Linked DNA regions of Sus scrofa. The protein of the gene in region 3 interacts with the protein of the main gene of each other region in a pairwise test. Links are inferred from orthologs where the notes say so. Each region holds a gene or a part of one and is shown on either strand. Other genes may lie near its edges.

Evidence for each region.
Region 1: the proteins of UBE2I (region 3) and RNF111 interact in binary tests that used the Homo sapiens proteins (3 or more experiments, as listed by UniProt). The link is inferred for Sus scrofa from reciprocal best matches to the Homo sapiens genes UBE2I and RNF111.
Region 2: the proteins of UBE2I (region 3) and CLK2 interact in a two-hybrid assay, tested with the Homo sapiens proteins (2 studies listed by BioGRID). The two-hybrid records come from large-scale screens. The link is inferred for Sus scrofa from reciprocal best matches to the Homo sapiens genes UBE2I and CLK2.

The regions. Positions count from the first base shown.
Region 1 is NC_010443.5:112,960,966-112,963,283, forward strand, and holds the end of RNF111 (E3 ubiquitin-protein ligase Arkadia), read right to left. Parts: intron 2,148-2,318; coding exon 2,030-2,147; 3' UTR 501-2,029; downstream 1-500. UniProt on the Homo sapiens protein: E3 ubiquitin-protein ligase. Required for mesoderm patterning during embryonic development. Acts as an enhancer of the transcriptional responses of the SMAD2/SMAD3 effectors, which are activated downstream of BMP.
Region 2 is NC_010446.5:94,564,785-94,568,284, reverse strand, and holds part of CLK2 (dual specificity protein kinase CLK2), read right to left. Parts: intron 3,298-3,500; coding exon 3,210-3,297; intron 2,856-3,209; coding exon 2,789-2,855; intron 2,614-2,788; coding exon 2,497-2,613; intron 1,672-2,496; coding exon 1,505-1,671; intron 734-1,504; coding exon 639-733; intron 118-638; coding exon 1-117. UniProt on the Homo sapiens protein: Dual specificity kinase acting on both serine/threonine and tyrosine-containing substrates. Phosphorylates serine- and arginine-rich (SR) proteins of the spliceosomal complex.
Region 3 is NC_010445.4:40,566,142-40,570,295, forward strand, and holds the start of UBE2I (SUMO-conjugating enzyme UBC9), read right to left. Parts: upstream 2,801-4,154; 5' UTR 2,681-2,800; intron 1-2,680. UniProt on the Homo sapiens protein: Accepts the ubiquitin-like proteins SUMO1, SUMO2, SUMO3, SUMO4 and SUMO1P1/SUMO5 from the UBLE1A-UBLE1B E1 complex and catalyzes their covalent attachment to other proteins with the help of an E3 ligase such as RANBP2, CBX4 and ZNF451.

The DNA.
Region 1 (2,318 bases), on a different chromosome or scaffold from region 3:
AAAAACAGAGGAATCTATCTATATTTGTGTTTAGGGGAGCATCAAGAGGACTCTATTATATTGAATTCTCCCCATCTTATCCCTTGGCACAGACCCTGTGTTTTATAGTGGTGAAGCCCTACATCTGTCACATGCTATTGGTACTAGCTCTTGTCCCCAGTAAGATGGCATACAAAGTTTCTCTCCTTTTCTCTCATTCTGTCTCATCCCCTTCCCACCAACTACAGCTTAATCATCAAATGTTCTTTTTAAAAATGTTATTTCATATCCAAATTTCTTAACCATAGTCCATCTTCCATCTCTCCACATATTATGTTCAAGCACCTGATACTGACAATTACTACAGAGTAACTATTTACTAATATTAATAAAAGACAAGAAGCCATAACTGAGTAACAACCATCAAATTATGTAAATGTCAACTTGAATGAGATCATTATTTTTGAATTCCAAATGTTTAATATAAATGGTTTTATAAAAACAAACTATGAAAACACAAAGACAATAGAAATATAAGTTATTTATTAATCAATCCACTTACAAAGCAGGTGGCTTAATGCAAGCTTATTGACATCTTCACATATGATTCATGGGAACATGTCTTCCACATACAGACAGTGATGTTACTGACTGATGCATTTGCAATCTGGGGCATATTAAGCATATTTAGACAAATAAAATTAGGCTATCCTGTATATGAAAGTATCTTGATATATGCATCCTGAAGTGGATTAAAACTTTCTCCAAAGGAGAAATGTTAGTACATTAACTTAACTTTAATATTCTATATTATGCAGTAAATCTTAACTATAGAAATTAAAAATTTTAAATCAGTGATCGACTCTTGGTAATGTACGAAGTGGGAATCTAAAACCAGAGCAACAGTAGGTTGACAGCATAATTTGTGCCTCACAGTATCTGCAGATTTACTGTTTTCAAGTTTGAAGAGAAATAAAACAAGAGACATGTAGATTCAGCTGACTTTATTTATCTTTAAACTAATAAAAATCCCTTTAAAAGTGATCCTGGGACCTTTAGAAGTTCTATGAATGCATAGATACCTGCCAGTGACTGCAATTCTAAATCCTGACTAAATGTGTTTACAAAACTCAACACAAGCAGATATCTTTACTATACGTGCTTAGCAGAAGACTGAAAAATTCTACATGTCTTCTTCGATTTCCCTAAAATTTTGTTAAATCTGCAAGTATATACAATCCAGCTAATTGAAATTAATATTTAGTGTTCATCAGAGCTGTTTCACAGCAGCAAAAATTGAATCTGGGAAATAAAAGTTCTAAACAATGTAGGAAACGATAAATACAATCAGAACAGCAGTCTAAATGTATGATATCAATATTCAACTCTATCTGCATTGTGCTGAAAGGAAAAGGATACACCAAGAAAATTTCTATTGATCACTCTGGTGATGTGAATACCACCTGCATCTGATTGAAAATGGTTTATACTCTGTTCCCAGTATCAAGGATGGTATTTAACTCAGAACTCCATATTGTAAATATACAGCAGCCATTGTGTCCTAATTAAGGAATGTCTTAATACAATATTATCATTTTCTAGAGGATTTTTATACATTAAACTAAAGTACATGATTGATTAAATTAAACGTTAGTAATGGATAAAAAAATTCATAATTCTCAAGACCTGGTACTATGTAAAAAACAAAAAGACCACAAAATTCTACTTACTAAAGCAGCTAATCTTGCCTGCAAGTTTAGGGTCACAAGCCCATAATATGTGCAAAGAAATGCAATACAAGGAACCATGCAAAAATACAGTAAAATGATACAGGAAAAATGTCAAATCTAGAAAAAAAGGCTTTTATAAATACATCAAAATCAACTGTATACATAAACTGTACGTCTAGCATTAGTTGTACCATATAGCAGAGCCAGCACTCTAAGTTCAAGGCTTCCAAATCTGCGCAGGTAAGTCATGCCATCTTTGGTTGACTGCAGTACCAGGAGGGTGGGAATGAGAGGGAGGGCAAGAGTTCTGAAACATGGTGTCAACTCTCACTTGGCAGCTGGGCCTCAATGTCCACTCTGCATATGGGGCACTTCTTATTGGTAATCAACCACTGGTCAACACACACTTGGTGGAAAAGGTGCATACAGGGAAGGCGTCTATTATAAGCAAACAAAACAAAAAGCAAAAATTAATCTTATGACAAACACTCATGATATTTATTTTTAAACAAATGATATATGCAGTAAGTCAGTAATGTTTTCAAGTTACTAGACAGCATTCTTTTCTATTAAAAAATCCCAGGAGTTCCCGTCATGGCGCAGTGGTTA
Region 2 (3,500 bases), on a different chromosome or scaffold from region 3:
TGGTGCTCGGTAGTGGCGGGTAGAGACGATGGTGCTATGGTGTTCATGGTCAAAGGTGGCACTGCCAAAGTCTACCACCCGCACAGCTGTGCTCTTCACGCTTCGCTCATCTCGCTTCTAGGAATAAAGCAGGAGGAGAATGAACCTCCGTCTGCAGTGAGACGGAAAGAATGAACAGACTGAGATTCTAGCACTATTCTCTAAAGTGCTTCTGAGCCTTAAAACAAAGCAATTCTGACCTCCTGCCTGCTCCCCACACATGCTGAAACGTCTCCTCCTTTACAGCCTCCCCCACATCCCGCAAAGTACTTTAGGAGTGGGGCAGGAACAGGATCAAGGGCTAACTATGGAATAGCATGCAAGTCTGTGCATCTGAAGAGTATGCCCAAGCGACTGGTGGGTAGTGTTCCTGAAAATGCACAGGAGGTAGCCAAGTGAGGAAGAGCTGCCTCAGCTGAGATCTCCATGATCTCCACTTAAGTCAAGGGAGCAGAGCTGAGCTTCCCTTACAGAAAAAAGAAGGAAGCCCAAACCAAGAAACTTAAAAATGTGGGAGGACAGAAAGGGCGAAGAGAAGGGCAAAGTGGCACGGCCACCTGCACCCTCCCTGGCTAAGGGGCACACCCTGTCTGCCTTACCTTCTCTAGGTTGTAGGTGAGCTCGTAGTCTGAATTCACAAACAGAATGTTTTCAGGCTTGAGGTCCGTATGTGTCAGCTTGTTATCATGGAGGACTGCAGAGGAGAAGGCCAGGTCAGGGTTGGTCCATGTGGCCAGGGCTAACTGGCACCGGCTGACCCCCGGCTTGGTCACCTAGCTCAAGGCTGGTGAGGAGGCAGATCCAGAATTACCAGGCTGTTTACTGCTCTACATCCAAATGAAATGCCTGGTCTAAGAAGCCCTACACTCATTAATGGACAATACATGTGTATTTCTCAACCAATGTATAGATGGTGTGCTATGGGTTTTTTTTGTTGTACTGACTTTGACATCTGTCTGACTTCTGTGACTTCAGCTCTAGAAAACAGTACTGTTGTGAAGATATAAGAGGAAGAAGTATGAGCAGTCTAAATTCTGTTCCTGGCCCCTTGGCTGCATTACGCCCCACTCCCGCCTGCGTTGCTGGGAACAGAGAGTATCTCAGCTCAAACAAATGTAAACCTCTAGTTCGAGGAATCTTTTTGTCTCTTTGTGCTTCCTGCTTGACTTACACCTTCCCAAGGAAGGGGAATGAAAAAGAGGTAATTAAGTGCTTTAGTTTGAAATGCTTTCTCTTCCAGCTCCTGCTAGGCTGAATGTGGAGTAAGAGCAATCGGTGATGGTGAAGACACGGATGAAGGAGATAAGTCTGAAGAAGAAGAGATGTCAACAGGACAGTGGATAAAAGAATGGCACATCATCGAGATGACTGTTTGAGGGGCTTCACTAGTGCACAAAACTGAGACAGAAGAGGTCCAATGGAGGGAGGGGCTGCCCCAGAGTCCACCTCGGCCCGCCCCACTCACACTTGACGGCCTGGCACAGCTGGAAGGCCATGTGGCGCACTTGGTGGATGGGGTAGGGCAGGTAGTTGTTGTCTTTGAGGAAATCGAAGGTGCTAAGGCCCAGAAGCTCAAAGGAGATACACATGTGGCCATGGTAGTCAAACCAGTCAAACATCTGGACACAGAGGCTGGGAAGAGAGATGGAGGAAGGGGGATGTCTGATGAGCTCCCATCTGCCCACCACCCCTCCAACGAAGAGGGACTGCATAGCTGTCGATTCCACATATTTGTGTAAAACCATGCCAGCTCTTATCACCAAGAAAATTCAGTTTGGCTAGAGAATGGCCTTTCTGGCAGAACCAAGAAGAGAAGTACTACCCGCCAAGCCTCACATCAGTTTCCTGAAACATTTTAAATAGTTGAAAAAAAGAAAAAAAAAACCCACTCTATTTGCTGAGGAGCTGCTGAGTGCCAGGCTCCAGTGTGGACTCTGAATGGTCAAACAGCCACTCCTACATCCGGACCCCAGATCCCACTCCTGAAATTCACTCACCACCAGCCATCACTGGACCCACGTTTATAACTATCGTCTTATGTCTTTGCTTAATACTCTTATTCTATAGTTAGATTCTGGAATGTGTGTGAACAGAAAAATTATACATAAATGTCATCAGCATAGTTCTGGGTATTAAAAGTTCAACTAATTTTTTTGAAAATGTTGACTCTCAGACTCAGGGCCATTTCCAGGGTACATCCCTAAGAGGCCATCCTGGGTCAAAGGCAAACTGCAGAGCAATCTATCGGCCCGAAAACAAGGGGAGTGGATTTGAGAATATCACAGACCCTCCCTTCCTGCCCTAGTGTTCTATCTACTACTCTAAGATGACGAACAAAAGATGAATGGATGAGAAGATCTAGAACTCCCTGCCTGGCTAACCCAGGTCAGGAAGGTTTTCCTGGGGCAGGGTGGAGCCTCTCAGACTCCCCACACACTTCTTCGCTTGCTTGCTTACTTCTTGTTGTCAGGATCCTTCTCGTTGATTTTCTCCAGCACATTGATCTCAAGTCGAGCTGCTTCCTTGTACTTTTCCACATTTTTAATGATCTTCAGGGCAACTCGGGCCCCACCCCTGTAGGGTGGCAAGACAAAATTTTGTTGGAATCTCAAGAAAATCTCAGATTGAACAGGGCTACCCAGGGATTAAGAAATCCTACTTTTGGCTAGTCAGCAAAAAAGCCCCAAATAACTTTTACTACCTCTTTACAGCTGGCAGGCGTGGAGTACAGAGGGGGGCTGCCAATTACCTGCGATGGTCGACACACTGCACAACTCGGCCGAAGGTCCCCTCTCCCAAGGTGCTTATGATTTCATCTGAAATGAAAAAGAGCAGGGTCGGGGAGAGGGAGGGAGAGAAGGTGGGGAATGAGCTGAGTTGGAAGAAAAAAAGGGTACAGCAACCTGGGGTGAGGAGATGAAGGAAGGGGGAACAGATACAGATGGTCACAGGGGAAGAAAACCCCTGCATGATTCCCACCACCTTTAACCCAGGGGCCATGAGAGCTGGGAGTGGACAGCAGAGGTCAATTCTCAACAGCAACTCAAACCACCCAGATAAACAACACCACTGAGAAAAGGCAAAAGAGGCTGTGACTTGGGTTGGCTCGGGACGTTAGGATGGCTATGGGACCATTACAGGCTATAGGATTGTTACGATTTGGCTTGTACATCGCTCTTGTAGCCAGTCCCCGACGTGGTAGATGAGGTGGCCCTCAGCGTCGTCCTCTACACTCTTGGCTCTCCGGCTGCTGTGCTGCTGTCGGGGGGCGGGGGGGGTCGGAGCAAGCCAGGTGTCGGAGCGGGGGCCGGAGGGAGGCGGGGTGGGTGGTGGAGGGGTCACCGGTCACAGGCGCCCAGCCAGGGGGGACAGACGATGATGGGGGACAGTGGAAGGGAACACGTCAGATGCAGTAAGGCGGATCGGGGTGAGAAGAGAGAGCGGCGCATAATCCCAAGTCC
Region 3 (4,154 bases):
GTTTGTTACCACTGAGCCACAATGGGAACTCCCCGCCTGGGATCTGTCTGTTCACACAACACAAACTGAGGAGAGACAGAGTTGTGGCTGTGCAGAAGGCCCACGCAGGAGGAAGACGTGTGCTGGGAAGTGCTAGGTGCCAGGACACAGGAAGCAGGACGATGGCAGGGAGGCACCCGGTCCTACAGGGTCAGGTGCCCGCGTGGGCACAAGCTGCAGCAATGCAAGGGACTGTTCCAGGCGGGCTCACCAGGAACAGAAAGAAGAGCCAGGAGGGTCACTGGCTGCGAGGGCCAGGGACCGCCCAAGGGAGGCGGGGGCAGTGACCCCGAGTCTGAAAAGCTTTCCTTCCCTTGACTGCCTCCAACCCTTCACTTTTTTTGGTCTTTTTTTAGAGCTGCACCTGTGGCATATGGAGGTTCCCAAGCTAGGGGTTAAATTGGAGCTGTAGCCGCTGGCCGACACCACAGCTCAGCAACGCCAGCTCCTTAACCCACTGAGCCGGGCCGGGGACCGAACCTGCATCCTCCGGGATACTAGTCGGGTTTGTTAACCTCTGAGCCGGGACGGGAACTCCCCAACCCTTCACTTCTAAACAGAACCCTGCCCCACCCACTCCAGCAGCTAGTGGGGCTGCCCCTCCCGCAGGGCTTGAGGAATCTGGAGGGTCTCTGCAGCCCCTGGGCAGCCAGGGCAAAGGCGGCAGCAGGCGGACACGTCTGAATTAACGGAGGCAGGAGTCCAGCAAGCGGCTGCTCCCCGTGAGTCTGCACCTGGCCAGGCGCTGACCATGGGTCATGAAGGCCCAGGGCACCACTGTGGACACTGAGGAGCCATGGATACTAAATGGGCAACTGAGGCTGCTCGGGGAGGAGGGCAGGGGTCACGGCTTGTCCAGGATGCAGACCAGGCCAGGGGGGCCATCCTGAGTGCTGCCTGCCTGCTGACCGTGCGCCAGCACCCGGCCACAGGCCACCTCTTCTGCTGACAAGGGACAAAGTTGCCTCTGCAGGCTGTCCCAGAGCCCAGCTGTGGCTGCGCCAAAGGTAATGGGGGGGGTCCCACAGGAACTCCTGCCTCCCCTTCCTCAGGGGTGCCAGGGGACCAGACCAGGCAACAAAAGGGTGAAGAGCCACAGGCCCAGGCAGAGAGGCCTGGCCTTCCCTTATCCGGGAGAAAGCACCCAATTTGTTACATTTTAATGACAAGGGGAGCTACTCCTTCAGAATCCCACTTAAAATTAAATCTGCCTTCCCCAACCAAGAGTCACCCGAAGCAGCTGAATGTTAGCAGACACTCCAGAGATGGACATTGTTAGGATGCAAGGATGAAATACCCACGAACCGCTAGCCTGCAGGACAGCAGCTGGGATGTCCAGGCAGATTCTGGAAGTCTCCACGCCACCTTCCTCCAGAGTGAGCTGTGCCTGAATCCCCTCTTCTTAGATCACACGCTGCGATTTGACAGCAAAGCCTGCAGAGCCACTAACTGGCTGCACATGCGGGCGAGATGCTTCTCTCTCCCAGCCTCAGCCTTCTCAGCTGTGCGATAAGCCACAGCACTGTGAACTCACGGGTTGGCCCAGGGTGAAAGTGAGCAAGGATCAGCAGCCCAGGATGGGCCCTTCCCACCCAAACATCAGCTTCCCAGGGGGAAGGCATTTGCTTCACCTGATGCAGGCACCCTGCACTCGGGAGACTCTCCAGCCCAGGTGCACGCCCTGTTCTTGCCCGTTTCTGCAGCCAGGCCCCAAATCCCGAGCAAGACTATCGCAACAAGATGCAGAGTTCACCCCCTAAACCACCCGGCGGGCCATGAGCAAGTCAGGGAAAACTTGGGATCCACTCCCCTCTTCTGGTGGGAAGACTTCCAACCCAAAAAGTTTTCCTTAGTAGCAAGAAACGTTTGAGGTTAGGGGTCTGGAAAGGGCACCAACTCTGCAAACACAGAACAACAACTTTGCAACCCGAGGAACTAAGCTTGTTTTCAAACCACACAAACCAAACCAGTGAATTCTGTGATTGAGAGGCAGGTGCAGGCCGTTACCGCGAGCCCAGCTAATCATTCTCTGGCCTTCCTGCTCCTGGCTCAACTACCACTTCCAGCCTCCGTGCACTTGGTACAAAGCAGTCCCAGGAGGAAAATTCCCCGTCAAAGGAAGCGCGGGTGCCCAGGGTCCCACCAACTGCGGCCGAGGCTCCGGAGGCGCAAGAACTCGGACTTGTTTTGATTTACAGACACCACACACCACCCCCAAACGGGCCGGCGCTGCCGCAGCGCGAGGCTTTGCGCTCTTTGTGCGATGCGTCGTCTCCAGGGCTGGCACACGCCACAGGTTCGCGCGCAGACCGTGACCCCGGAAACGCTCCGCCTCGGCGGAGGGCTCGGCGCCCGCTCGCGCTCCTGTCAGCGCAGCCCGAGCGGCGGGCGCCGTCTGCGGCCCGGCCGCGATGCGACCCGCCCCGAGCGCGCGCCCGAGTGGACGCCCCCGCCGTCTGGGGCCGCGGAGCCCAGCGGGCCGGCCCACGCCGCGGCGTCAACACACCGGGGCAGGCCGGTTCCCGGGAGCGGGCCCGGCCGGGCCGCGGGTGGAGGGAGCCCGCCTGGCCGGGCCCGACGGCGGCGGAGGCCCCAGCCCGACAAGGCCCGGTCCCCGGCCCGCCCGTCTCGCCGCGCTCACCTCGGGCGGCCGCGGCCCGGCGAGTGAGGCGGACGAGGCGGCGGCGGCGGCGGCGGCGGCGGCGCTCCTTTGTCTCGGGACTTCCCTCCCGAGCCCGCTCCGCGCGCAGCCCGAGCGCTCGAGGACCCCGGCGCGGGCGGGGCGGGGCGGGGCCTGCGGAGTCTGCCCGCCGCGCGCCTGCCCCGCGCCCCGCCGCTGCCGCCGCACGCCCCGCGCCGTCCACGTCGCTGTGCGCCGCCCGCCGCCCGTGCCCCGCCGCCGGGCGCCCGCGCCCCGGGCCAGGCCTGGGAGCCCAGCCCCGGGGGCGGCTTTCCAGTCAGGCGGCGCCCTGGACACCTGTGCCCTTAAAGGAGCCGCGTCCCTTATGTGAGGGAGCGTCTGCAAACTCCCCTTCGCGGGGCCCGCGTCTATCCGAGGACACGCCGGCGTGCGGCGGGGCAACCAGGAGGCCGAGATCTCCAAGGGCCCCCCGGATGCCCCGCGGGCACCTCCCCGGGCACGGGTCCTGGAGGTCTCCTTGGGGCTAGGGCCCGGGGCCGGGGAGCAAAGATCATTGAGGCCTAGGGATCCCCGAAGCGTCGCAGCACGGTGACAACCCCTCGCGCGCGGCAGGCCGTGAAACTCCTTGCAATTGGCCAGTTCGGGGCTCAGGGCGGGGCGTCTGCCGAATCTGCCCAATGAGCTGACCCCGTACAAAAGGTAGCGTGGCTGCCCGACCGATGGGAGGAGAAGAGCGGACGCTCCCTAACCCAGGGCTGGCCCTGGGGGAATGAAAGGGAAAACCTGACATTACTAATGGAAAACCTCTCCAACTGCAAGTTCTGCTTCTGTAAGCCCCGCTTGCTCAGCGCCCCCCCATGATCATGTGACCACTAACAGACCCACACCTAAAGCTGGAACATTCCCTGCCGCCGGCTCCTCCAGTTCCCACTCCGGTCCACCCCTCCAAGCGTGGACCCAGAAGAACTGGCCTGTAAAAGCCTGTAGCACCCCTGTTCGGGGCCTGGGTTCTGGAGAGCAATCTTCCCCAGGCCGGCCGGGTATGAGAGCTAAATTCTCCTCCTCTCCCAGTGTCGCTTGGTTTCTCGCTGGTCGGTGCTGCACGTGGAGCTGTAACATTTCTGGAGGCCCCAGCGAGACCCCAACCGTTCTGGCCCTTTGAGCCACCGGGGCTGCGGTGAAGCTGCAGGAAGGCTGGGGAGCTCCGGAGGCGAACGAGGCGGTGCTCCACCCGACGGTATTTCGGGTCCTCCTTCGTGGCGGTGCTCCAGTCCTCCCAATGGCCGAACCCCAACCGGACTCGGTGGAGAGACGGACCAACTCCCAAGCAAGACTAGTTAAAGCTCCGGAATAAGGTAAGGCCCCGAGGCCAGTCCCCGTCAGGTCCTGCCTACTGGCAGAAGAGGAGACCTACGTCTTCCAGTCTGACGACCCCAGGAAGGGACCTCCCAAGGGGGAGGTCTGTGACGGCTGA